Oreochromis niloticus: one gene and its partners. The protein of the gene in region 3 interacts with the protein of the main gene of each other region in a biochemical or structural test. Links are inferred from orthologs where the notes say so. Each region holds a gene or a part of one and is shown on either strand. Other genes may lie near its edges.

Region 1 (3,756 bases), on a different chromosome or scaffold from region 3:
TGCTGAGCGGTACCACTGGATGCCACCAGTATTTTTGTGTCTGTGAGTAAGCTGCTTTTTTATGTAAATATGACTCTTCCTTTTAAATCCTGCTTAACATTTTGGACTCCAGTGTTCCAAGAATAGACAAGAGTCACAGATAATGACAGTACTTGTAAAATGTGAGGGACTGATGACCTGGTTACCTTCAGTGTGTCAGAATCTGTTGCTTTACAGCCAGTTTCCATAAAGTATTTGAGGTTCTCACTCAAATGGCTCTTCCCCTGCTTCTTCCTGAACTCCTCTACAATTCAAACCAAAGAACAAGAAATTTAGAGCACCATCAACTGAATATTAGACTGTAAAAGAGTTTACATTACTGAAACAGAACAATTATTCAGATTTGAGTTCTTTTTCAGTGAAAGGCTGTACATTTTACAACTTAGTTTAAGACCAATGCTGCCACCTACTGGTCCTTACATAAAAAACACAAAAGCATCTGTACTAATTGTTTTTACTTTTTCACAGATGTCTTCTATTCTAAGCATGAAGAAGACTGAAATACAGCAAGCAGACTGACCCACTGCAGACTTGATCCTCTTGTCTTTAACAGTGGCTTTGCTCTTGCCAGGCCCGAGACGGCCTTGCAGTCTTTTGACCTGCTTGGTAACTCCCTGCCGCTTGGTGCTCACCAGCTCCATCACTGTGGCTGAGCTGGGGGTCTGCTGCTGCTTCTTCTTCACTTTAGTGACATCTGGCAGGAAACAAAAAGACAAGCACAAAACCCAAAGTAAGCTGCAGACAAGGAAACATGTTCTTTTAAGAATGTGAATCGATCTTATTGTCATTCAAAAGCTATACACTAATCATAGCATATCTGAATGGGATCGCGTTGCACTGGCTCACAACATTAATAAAAATTGTAGTAACAAACAGAGCTATAGAAAAATAATGTAAAATGCATAAAAAATATACTGTATAAAACACAGCAGTATTGTTAAATTACCAGTATATTACACTTATAGATAGTAATGGAGTATCACAGCAGCAGGGAGATCAGTCCACTGTGTGTGTGTGTGTGTGTGTGTGTGTGTGTGTGTGTGTGTGTGTGTGTAGATGGGAGGGGTATTAAAGAATTAAAGTTTAGAAACCTGATGGCTATGAGAAAGAAACTGTTCTGACTCTGAATCTGACTCCTCTGCTCCAAATACACTCTTCACCTGAGACATTGCTGTGCTCCCATTACAAGAGAACTACAAAGCTAGAAACATAGTGCTGCCGTCCACCTCCACCACAATGTCAAAGTCAAAGTCAAAGTCAGTTTTATTTGTCAATTTCTTCAGATGTACTTGCCATACAAAGGAATTGAAATTACGTTTCACACTGTCCCATGCGTAGACATAGACAACAATAAAGTGCAGATGCACAACATTTAGGTAACATACAGGATATAACAAGACAGGACCTACACATAACGTATAATAAAGTGTAATAAAGTAAATAAATGTTATTGATGAGAAGCTGTGTGTGAAAGACAGTGCTGTTTGTGGTCCACCAGTCCCCATCAATTGTCTCCGCTTGCCGCATTCTTTCATGCTGGACGATGATTGAGTTGAATGCGGAACTGAAATGCACATTGTGAGTCCTAAAAGGTGATAATCATTAAGACATGGGACTGGACTGTTTTTAGGAACTAGTATGATGGTAAAATTCTTGAAACATGATGGTCCAACTGCATGGTTCAGTGAGGTATTGAAGAGGTCTGTGAGGACATGACCCAGCTGATCTGCACATTCCCTGAGCACCAGTCCCGAGGCGCTGCTTTGGTACATCAGTTCTTCTCAGGGTCCTCCTGACATCAGCTGTGCTGAAACCAAGTACCCGCTCACCCAATAAGGAATTGCTTTCCTCACAGGAATGTTATGTAGGTTGAGGTTAAGCATAGTACGGTTATTCACATACGACACTTGTCTTTTTCAGGCTCTACGTTGCTATGATTTAATGACGACAACGTGATTTCCTTATTAAAGACCTCAGAAATAATATTCAAGTAATCAGGTTTAGACCTTAAAGCAACAGTATAAACCCAATCTATTACAGCCCAACTATAACAATGTAAAAACACTGATCAGTCACAAGGAATGGTCAGAATTATACTAGCGAGAGCGCTAATGTCCAATACTGTTAGCCAACTGGCACAGCAAGCTGAAGAGGCTAAACTGACCTTTAATGTCATTGCTCAGCAGCTCCAGTCCTCTCCTGATCAACGAAGCCGACATCCTGATTCAAGCTACAAAAGTTTTCTTCTACTTTCCACAAACTACATCCACAGAAATCTGCTTTTATAACCGGGTAACAACATGTGGTTCCATAAACATCCGGCAAGCTCGCGTGCGTCGGTTAAAAGCAGTCGGCTTGACGAGGTAAAAATGAACAAAGTTCCTACCTGGATAATGCTGCTGGACCTGTTGTTATATTTCAACTACTTTAGTTTAAATTTTTTATTATTATTATTATTAGTAGTAGTAGTAGTAGTAGTAGTACTACTGCTACTACTACTACTACTACAAGTGGTAGTAGTAGTAGTAGTATCAAAACAGAAGGGGCGCACTATGGAAACTGTGGGACAAGGAGAAAGTGTAGTAAAATGATAAGTCATGCTATTTTAAAATGTAGGTCGAAGCAATCTCCAGATTAGGTAAAGAGAATTAGCCAATGAGGTGGCTAATGAGTGGCTCCAGTCCTCTGTTATTTTCACTTCCCACGGAGATGGGTTAATAGATTACGTTTTCTGTTGGAGTTGAAAAAAAATATGCATGTCTCGCTGCAGGCTTACGAATGAGTGTCGGTTTTCAGACTTTGTCTAAAATGTAGGCTAATGCCATTTTTACTGTGTCCCCCTTTCACTTTTATCAGTGTCAGGTGAACCGAGGGGCGTGACGGTTTGGCATGCGCTCTCTCCCCACCATTAGTACCTTTGCTCACTCGACCGCTCCCGACTTTTGGCACGGTTTTGTTAAATACCGTGAAACTTAGGTAAACTTTGTAGCCTGTCTGCATCTTCAGTTCACCATGGCTCTCCAAGCCACCGCTCTGGTCACCTCTAAGTGGCTGGCTCGGGCTGTAAAGGTCCAGGGGAAAATGCGGGTCTTGGACACTTCGTGGTATTTACCCAAACTGCGGAGAAACGCAAAGAGCGAGTTCAAGAAGAAGCACGTGCCGGGAGCAGCTTTCTTTGACATTGACCAGTGCTGCGATAAAACCTCTCCTCTGGACCATATGTTGCCGTCAGAGGACTATTTTGCGGAATACGTCGGGAAATTGGGAATAGAAAACGACACGCACGTCGTGGTCTACGATGGCAGCGAGTTCGGGGCGTTCTCGGCGCCCCGTGTGTGGTGGATGTTCCGGGTGTTTGGGCACAGTGCGGTCTCTATGCTCAATGGGGGGCTCAGGAACTGGGAGCTGGAGGGTCGACCTGTGAGTGACCGGTACGTCAGACCCACAGCGACCGAGTTCAAAGCCTCTCTGAACCGCTCGTGGATTAAAACCTACGAGGATATCCTGGATAACCTGGAGACTAAAGAGTTCCAGGTGGTGGATGCCAGGCCCACAGGCAGGTTCAAAGGACTGGACCCTGAACCCAGAGACAGTGAGTAGTCTGCATTAGAGCCTTCATGATGGTTACAGTCCTGCATGCCCCACTCAGGCTTTTGTTTTTCAGATTACTGACACCCTCATTTCATCCCACAGACTACAGGCACACTGTCATGAGGG
Region 2 (3,756 bases), on a different chromosome or scaffold from region 3:
CCATTACTAATGGTCAGATTTGTATTTGACCTAATGCACGTATGTAACTGCCCAATAAAACACTAGCAGTGTGTGACCTCTACCTCATAACTGTTTGTGGTTATTTTACACTTAGGGGATCTGTGACTAGTCTCTCTTTTCTCATGCACATGCTGATGCAACCCAGGCTCAATCTTGTACTGTATTGGTCATTCATTGTGAAATGAGCCTTTCACCTTCTCGCATGTGTTTGTTTATGGATATTTGCACAACATAGATCCTTAAAAGAATCATTTTTTCCTTCCTTTACCTGAGGACCAAGACTAGACAACTTTACAAACTCCAGCAAACAAATGGACAAGACTTATTGTTACACACTTGACCACCAACCATGCTGGACTTTATATAATCTTACCCAACTTTACTGACAACTTACCAGTGCTACTCTAGGTCACTGACCTATTTTCCTACAATACCGTTGTGGGGTTCTACTTTTGTGTTACTATAACAGTGCGTTACACATAGACATTGTGAAACACCCACATTGCCTGTTTTTACGTTACTAATTATTATAGGAGAGAGAGAAAAAAATGTAATGTAAACCACCATTACGAAGAGTTGCAGGAACTGTTTTTGTTAAAATACATGTGCTCATTTTTTTATGTCCTTCTGGCTACATGTAGTTGTGCAGTTTATTTTCCTCCTGCTGTTCCTGCTTCCATCATTCCAGGAGCGAAACACATGATGTAATCGCTAGACCCATAGATGCAACGTCAGATCACCCCACTCTGATTCTGAGCTTCTCATTGGACGGTTTTACTGGTTCTACAGGAGGAGCCGCTAATTCGAGTCAAACAAGCTTGGCTGTCGCTAAGCGCACGCCCCACACGACTATGATTGGCTATTGGTGGCAAGCCCACAATAAACATGTCCATGCTGTATACAAAGAGAAAAAAAAATATTTATTTATAATAAACATTATAAAAGATATTCAGAACTGTATTAAGCTGCTCTGGAATCAGAACTTAACTCGTTTATGCTGTAGTTAGCTATTTTTTCATACCCATCAAATGTAACCATATAAATATTTTCTAGCCACGGCATCAGTTCTTCGATTACTGCAATTATTTGTTGTTTTTTGTACATTATCGGATTTTTGTGTGTAAATTGTGTTAGATCGTGGCCGTATACTCCACATGCCCTCACTCATTTACTCAAACAATCAAAACAAGCCTGAGAAACAGGGACGTGGGAATCTAGTTCAAACAAGGGTGATTGGCTGGCGCAACTGTCAATCATCATCGGTTGGATGGGTTTCTCCGGCTACCGCTGTAAGCACGTTAGTAGTGAATGAGCGTCGGTGTTTGGCTTGGTTTGACAAGTTTCCCAGGATGATGATGGGGCTAGTAGCGAGCAGTTAGTTGACACAAAAGTTACAAAAATAAGAAAAGTTGCAGCTCGCGTTGCGTGTGTGACGAAAGGACAGGGATCTTGGTCCTTTTGTCAAATGTAAGGACTCAGAAGTTTCCGATTTCTCCGACAGTCAGTCAAGTCTACACTGGAAAGCCCAGGCACGACAGTAAAGATGAACAGCCTGTCTTTTGACGATCATTCGTTGGATAATCTGGATCCAACACTGTCGCTTAACGACCCCAGTGATATTGACACGGCCCTCCTAAGCGACATTGATGGTAAGAAAATATAATGGCTGCTGCTGGCTTAAAACAGTTGTGTTTGCTAAAACCGGTAACACCGTACGTGTTATCATTCCTTTTCGTATCAATTCTTTAAGTGTTCTGCATGTAATAACCACACTAACAACATCACTTACAACGACATTCGATACAAAGACACCTTTAAAAAAATAAAAAAGCTTTTAAAAGCTGAGAGCTAGCTTTCATTATCCACTGTTAGCTACATGCTAACTATCGGTGAGCAGTTAGCCGGAGGTGATATTTGGGATGTTTTGTTAGTAATTTATAACGATGATTCTTGCAATATCAGAAGTCTTCTGTGTGTCTTACTGTGCAATAGAAAAATAGAAGCGCATTTCATGAGGCGAATATGTGAAGCTAACGTACAGCTAGCTTCGTGTGCGCCCCGCCCCCAGCGTGCTCCATAGACCGGGGTTACTGTCGTTCATTCCTCTTTTTTGGGTTCACGGAGCCTCACTTGACCGATTTGACAAATATAATGCATTTATGTATGCCAAATTAATCGGTTGAAAACTAATGTAACCATGTGCTCTGTGGACGACATTATTTTTTTCTCGCTAATATAGTGCTATCCACGTGCAGTTTTTTGCAAAAACAAACAGCATATATAGTCTGATTCATATATAAAATTCGTGCAACAATTTAAGCCTCCCATCGAAATAACAAGAGTATTTCGAGTAGTGTTAATATTTAGAGTTTTCTGGAAATTTTCCTAAATTGGCCAGTATGTGTTTTATGATAGGGGTCGACGTGTAAATAAGATAACACGCACTGCGTAAACAGTATTCATATCCTGCGGCCGTGCTCTCCATCTCCCTGACTTTGACCGACAGTAACCCTCTGTGACACTGCTCGATGGTAACCTCACACTCATTGCCACAGGCAGCTCTCCCTCTCTTTTCCTGTCTTGGGCTGATCGGCATAGCAAGTCTCCGAGATGCGCTCTGATTGGCCAAGAGCGATCACCTCATACACAACACTGCTTCACAAATCCAGGCTGCTGGTTTTTTTCTTTTTTGCACTGCAGACACAACATGAACTCAGAATCACTTAACAGATAAATTAAACGCGGTGAACTGTGCTCGTAAAATGCTGTAAAAATTATTTCAGTGTCTTATGTCTTTCAAGAGCACACTGCTTCCTAGAATTAAAAAATGATTAGTGAACACGTGCCATCTCACTTTGTTCATGTAAAGTTTTTTGTCAGTTTTAAATCTTTGTAATATAGCAAATCATCTGGAAAAGATACATATTAAAATGTTTTATATCTTTTAGATCATGCTAATGAAAACCTACAAGTCCATATGTGCAGAAGCACAAATTAAGATTAATAATTCATTAATAATATACCACTTGGATTCTTGGACCTACAGCTGCACGCACATGATGAATGGCTTGATAAACTGAAAGTGTGAAATGTACTGTACCCGGTATTTCTTGTTGTGTTTGGCAGTCTTTCTTGTTAAGTGTGTTTTTAAACTGCGTAAGACACCCTATCTCCTGCTTAGGATGTTTTAAAGTAGTTTTCTAGTAATTTATTGAGTGTTAATGGAAAATGTGATGAAACAAAACAAAATTTAGGTTTTAGCAATTTTAAACCGCTGTAGTCATAAGTACATGTGATGTACTACATTTACAGTCATGTGAAAAAGAATGGACTCTATAAAAGCAGAAGTTTTTTTTGGTTTGCAGTACACGGATTTGTGGAAGTCCAAATTCACCTCACAGTCAGAGAAACCTCAAAAAAACACATGAGCTATATAATCTACAGCACATTAAATTTTAACATTAATGACAGTAAAGTTAGAAAGAGACTGAACACAAATATGGGTTCAATTTTAAAAAAACACATGCAGGAGCAAAGTTGCAGCTAAACAAACCAGAACACTTTTAGAGCAATAATTCATAATGCACAACATCACACAGCATATCTGTATAAACACCTAATATCAACTGTTAAGCATAGCGATGGAGTAGTGATGACTTGGGGTTGTTTTTGCGGCCATAGGACTCGGGAACCCTGCATTGATTGAGTCGACCATGAACTCCTCTGTATTTCAAA
Region 3 (3,756 bases):
CCTCTGACTTCTGTATAGCCTCTGTTTTTTTGTGCATCTTATATGATCACTCCTATGTTCTTTTACTATTTTACTGTTTGGAGAATTCCCCACGATCTTTTAAATTTCCCGTCTCTGCAGGGGCCTGGTCAAATGTGGTGGGAACACAAACAGTTCTTGTGATAAAATTTTAAGTTACTTTCGGAAAATTAAACAATTTCAAGCTAAAAGACATATGTTTTTTTTTTCTTTACTGTTGCCAAATGTCAAAATGGGTCAAATTTAACTGAACATTATGTTATGTTTAAGTTAACTTAAAAAACAGGCTCTGATTCTCCATTTAAAAGTCAGTGTAAACATGGGGGTGTGGGGCACCGTATTAAACAACATTACAAAATTTAACAGGAACTCAGAAGCGGCTTACATTTAAGTAGTTTCCCTTTATTATATTTTCTAAATGTCAACACCCTTTCACAGAATGAAAGTGCATAATCCTCTAGTCATGTAGACCTTGCAGTGGTCTACATGAAGAGATTTATGGTTTGGATTAAGATTATTAATTCTTTGTTAGGGAGCATTCAAATTGTTATTCTATTGTTTGTGTAACACCAACCTTAGCAAACTTAAAAAACGGTCTAGGGTCCCGTCTGAAGTACTCAATGTCAAACATAGCTTGAGGATCTGGAAGATCTGGAAAATCTACAGCAAGCCGTGCATAAATTCCATCTCTGGAGCGGAAGTCTGGTATTCCACATGAAACTGAAACCTACAACAAATAAAATAAAAATAATAAAGAGATGCAATGAACACTAATACTAAAAATCGAATTTACACAGTAGAGCTACATGATAAAGTAAAAAATGCATACCCCAGCACCAGTCAGCACTAGGATCCTTTTACTTTCATGTAGTAGCCTGACCACATCTTCTAAGGTATTAATATCTTTCCGCTTCTTTCTTTTTGGAGGCTCTGAGATGTTGATGATGATCTGCCACAATGTCATGTCATCTAAATCTGGTGGGAGTACAGTCTCAGGCAGCAAATCCCTCAGGATGGCCCTTGGATCTGTCTCTCTAATGTGCTGCTGGATGAAACTGTAGGAACCTGCGAGCAAGAACATAACATCTCAGTATGGCTGGATTTCCAAAACACACATACTTGTGCAATGCAAACAATTATTATGTGGTTTAAATATATAGATAAACACTAAATACATATCATAAGTGGCGTAATCTAAGATACTGTAGTTTATTAATGATGTTAGTTACCTATTTGCGGTTGAGGAGTCCAGTCGCTGGAGCTTGCATGTGAGGACCTGTCATCGTCTTCAGTGATGTGCTCTGGAGTGACAGCCAAACCGTTGGAGGGAAGATCATCGTGCCCAAGAAAATCTAAGTACAGACATGGAGAAATTTAACTAAATATGACTAGATACAAGTCGGGACTCTCTTTAATAACTGCTATGACCCGTTACAAAAGTAAATCGGTGAAAACAGCCTCTCAAAGTGAACTTTCAACCGGCTAACAAACGCCAAATTGCTCTCAAAGTTTTGCGTGGTTATGAAAAAGTTAAATGGACAAACTTGTGCTGACAGGATCACTGATAGAGAGTTAGCGAAATATAATTTAGTGGAAAAGTTCCCGTTTTTAGGAGTACAGGAGTTCTCGACACCCACACAGCATTACTGTATTTAACATTAGCTAAGTTAACTGTTTCACATGGAGCCAGTTAGCTCACCGGTTAAGTTGGCAAAGAGAATTTTTCTCACTGAAAGTCACTCAAATACTCAAAGTTTTTTTTTCTCTTTTTTATACCTGGACTGTCCTCGGTTCCGCCAAAGACAGCGGTGTCGTCAAGTTTCCCCACTGGCTTGTGAGTCTCGGAGAGCAATACTTCCAGTCCATTGTTGTCTCCGCCTAGCGCTGCCGGGGCCTGTTCTACCGCCATCACCGGCTTCGCTTCCTTCTCCGCGGGCTGCGCACAATTCAACGCCGCCTCCCAGCTCTCAGTTGCCGCGGAGACGCACGAGAACTGGTCCGCTTCGACGGCTTTCAGTCCATAGTTAGTCCCTGGACTGATTTTCGAAATCTTAGCGTGAGGTTCCCCCGTATCGGAGGCGCCCGAAAAGGCCGTTTTCAGACTGTTCTCTCCGTCCGCCATCTTCAGCCCGCAGAGCCGCTGAGCAGGAGCCTTCCTCTCGGACAGCTGGCTCATTTGCATAGCACACGTGACTCGTTCTCCACCAGTAGTCCCGAGCGAAACGCCCCCCTCTACGTCGCTGACATTATACCATAACAAATATTGTTGCCTTCAAGTGCTGTCGGATGATTTCTAATCATAGGTTAGCCCTCACGAATCTTTCAAGCCTTTCGGTGATGTGTTTCGCGTAAATATAAACGATTTTATATTGACGTGTAGTCGTTGTAAACTTAATTAATGCCCCAGTTACAAATCTGTCATTTTCTTTTTTCGTTGCCACACAAGCCTTAAGTATGTGAAAGAAATTTAGTTTTACTACATAAAAATATAACATTTCTAATTTCCTAAAGCTACCATTGCCTTTGTTTCTTAGCCAGATGAATAAACGAATTTTCTAGTAAGCAGGACCATTATCAAGACCCTTGAATGCATCATACGTCATACGGTGAAAAGGGGCAGCTGGGCTCTCCCAACAACTCAGGAGAGATCTCCCTTGAAAATTTCAACAGTTTAATAATCCCTGAAATCTAACGCTAGCTGACAAAACCATACTAAGACAAACTTTGCTAACAGTTAGTAGTTAGCTAGTTGGTTATAGTGAGTGAGTGAGTGAGAGGGGGAACCCTTTGGCAACCCTTTAACTGATCAGCTGTGATCACGTTCAGCAGCATTTGTGGTCCGTTAAAAGAAGCCATACGTGCTTCTCCGACAGATTTTTATGGAGGCTGTTTTGAGCTGTAAACCTGAGGATTTGGAGGATTACTACGGGTTACTGGGATGTGATGAACTGTCATCGGTAAGTTCTGGTCAGTGGGTTTAAGGCTCAGACTATTTGCTGGGTTGCTGAACGGATATAGTCTCGATCTATAAGTCAGTAATTATTTAGGGAGAAATGGGGGTTAAAAACATAAAATACTACATGAGACATCAACGATCAATAGCCTGTACACTGCTGAGCCAAAAAATGTAAAAATAAAAATGTATGTGTGCCTCAGATTAGGCTGAACCAACTGAGACCTGTTGATGTGAAACTAGTCGTGCGTCATCCAGTGTCTGCCAGCCAGCATTTAAATTCATTTGTGTATAACTAGATTAGATATGGAATCAGTGTGATTTTTTTAAATGTATCTTACTAAAATAAATCTTTGATTAGCAACATCAACACACATATCCACTGCGGTCTTGTGATCGCCAATTTTCACTCAATATATTACTCAACAATCAGCAACAGTCATAGACTGGCAGAGCTGAGGGTCTCAAATAGTCAATAACACGGTCAAGATAACATCGATCTGATTGATTAGATCACATCAGACTATGAGGTTTGTTTTGTTTTGTTGTCCTGCAGACCGAACAGATTCTCAATGAATACAAGATTCGAGCCTTGGCATGTCATCCAGACAAACACCTCGACAGCCCAAGAGCAGGTAATGCACACACACCACTAACTGTGTGTGAGTCATATTTCATATAACCTTTTTTTCATAGACCGAAGCAATAAAGTAATACGAAGTGTGTTATTACCGCTTCAATGCCTCTTAATTCACACTTTTCTTACATAGCTAATGTCTGTTTCT

Evidence for each region.
Region 1: the proteins of sirt1 (region 3) and rps19bp1 form a complex in vitro, tested with the Homo sapiens proteins (2 studies listed by BioGRID and IntAct). The link is inferred for Oreochromis niloticus from reciprocal best matches to the Homo sapiens genes SIRT1 and RPS19BP1.
Region 2: of the proteins of sirt1 (region 3) and srebf1, one has a biochemical effect on the other in vitro, tested with the Homo sapiens proteins (2 studies listed by BioGRID, with this or other methods). The link is inferred for Oreochromis niloticus from reciprocal best matches to the Homo sapiens genes SIRT1 and SREBF1.

What each region holds. Positions count from the first base shown.
Region 1 is NC_031971.2:9,196,630-9,200,385, forward strand, and holds the start of rps19bp1 (active regulator of SIRT1), read right to left. Parts: upstream 2,395-3,756; 5' UTR 2,259-2,394; coding exon 2,204-2,258; intron 734-2,203; coding exon 560-733; intron 284-559; coding exon 186-283; intron 1-185. UniProt on the Homo sapiens protein: Part of the small subunit (SSU) processome, first precursor of the small eukaryotic ribosomal subunit.
Region 2 is NC_031969.2:18,056,018-18,059,773, reverse strand, and holds the start of srebf1 (sterol regulatory element-binding protein 1), read left to right. Parts: upstream 1-1,300; 5' UTR 1,301-1,564; coding exon 1,565-1,670; intron 1,671-3,756.
Region 3 is NC_031978.2:25,308,667-25,312,422, reverse strand, and holds the start of sirt1 (NAD-dependent protein deacetylase sirtuin-1), read right to left. Parts: upstream 2,243-3,756; 5' UTR 2,201-2,242; coding exon 1,795-2,200; intron 1,371-1,794; coding exon 1,248-1,370; intron 1,084-1,247; coding exon 848-1,083; intron 746-847; coding exon 593-745; intron 1-592. Other genes in the region: dnajc12 (dnaJ homolog subfamily C member 12), read left to right, coding at 2,898-2,975, 3,528-3,606. UniProt on the Homo sapiens protein: NAD-dependent protein deacetylase that links transcriptional regulation directly to intracellular energetics and participates in the coordination of several separated cellular functions such as cell cycle, response to DNA damage, metabolism, apoptosis and autophagy.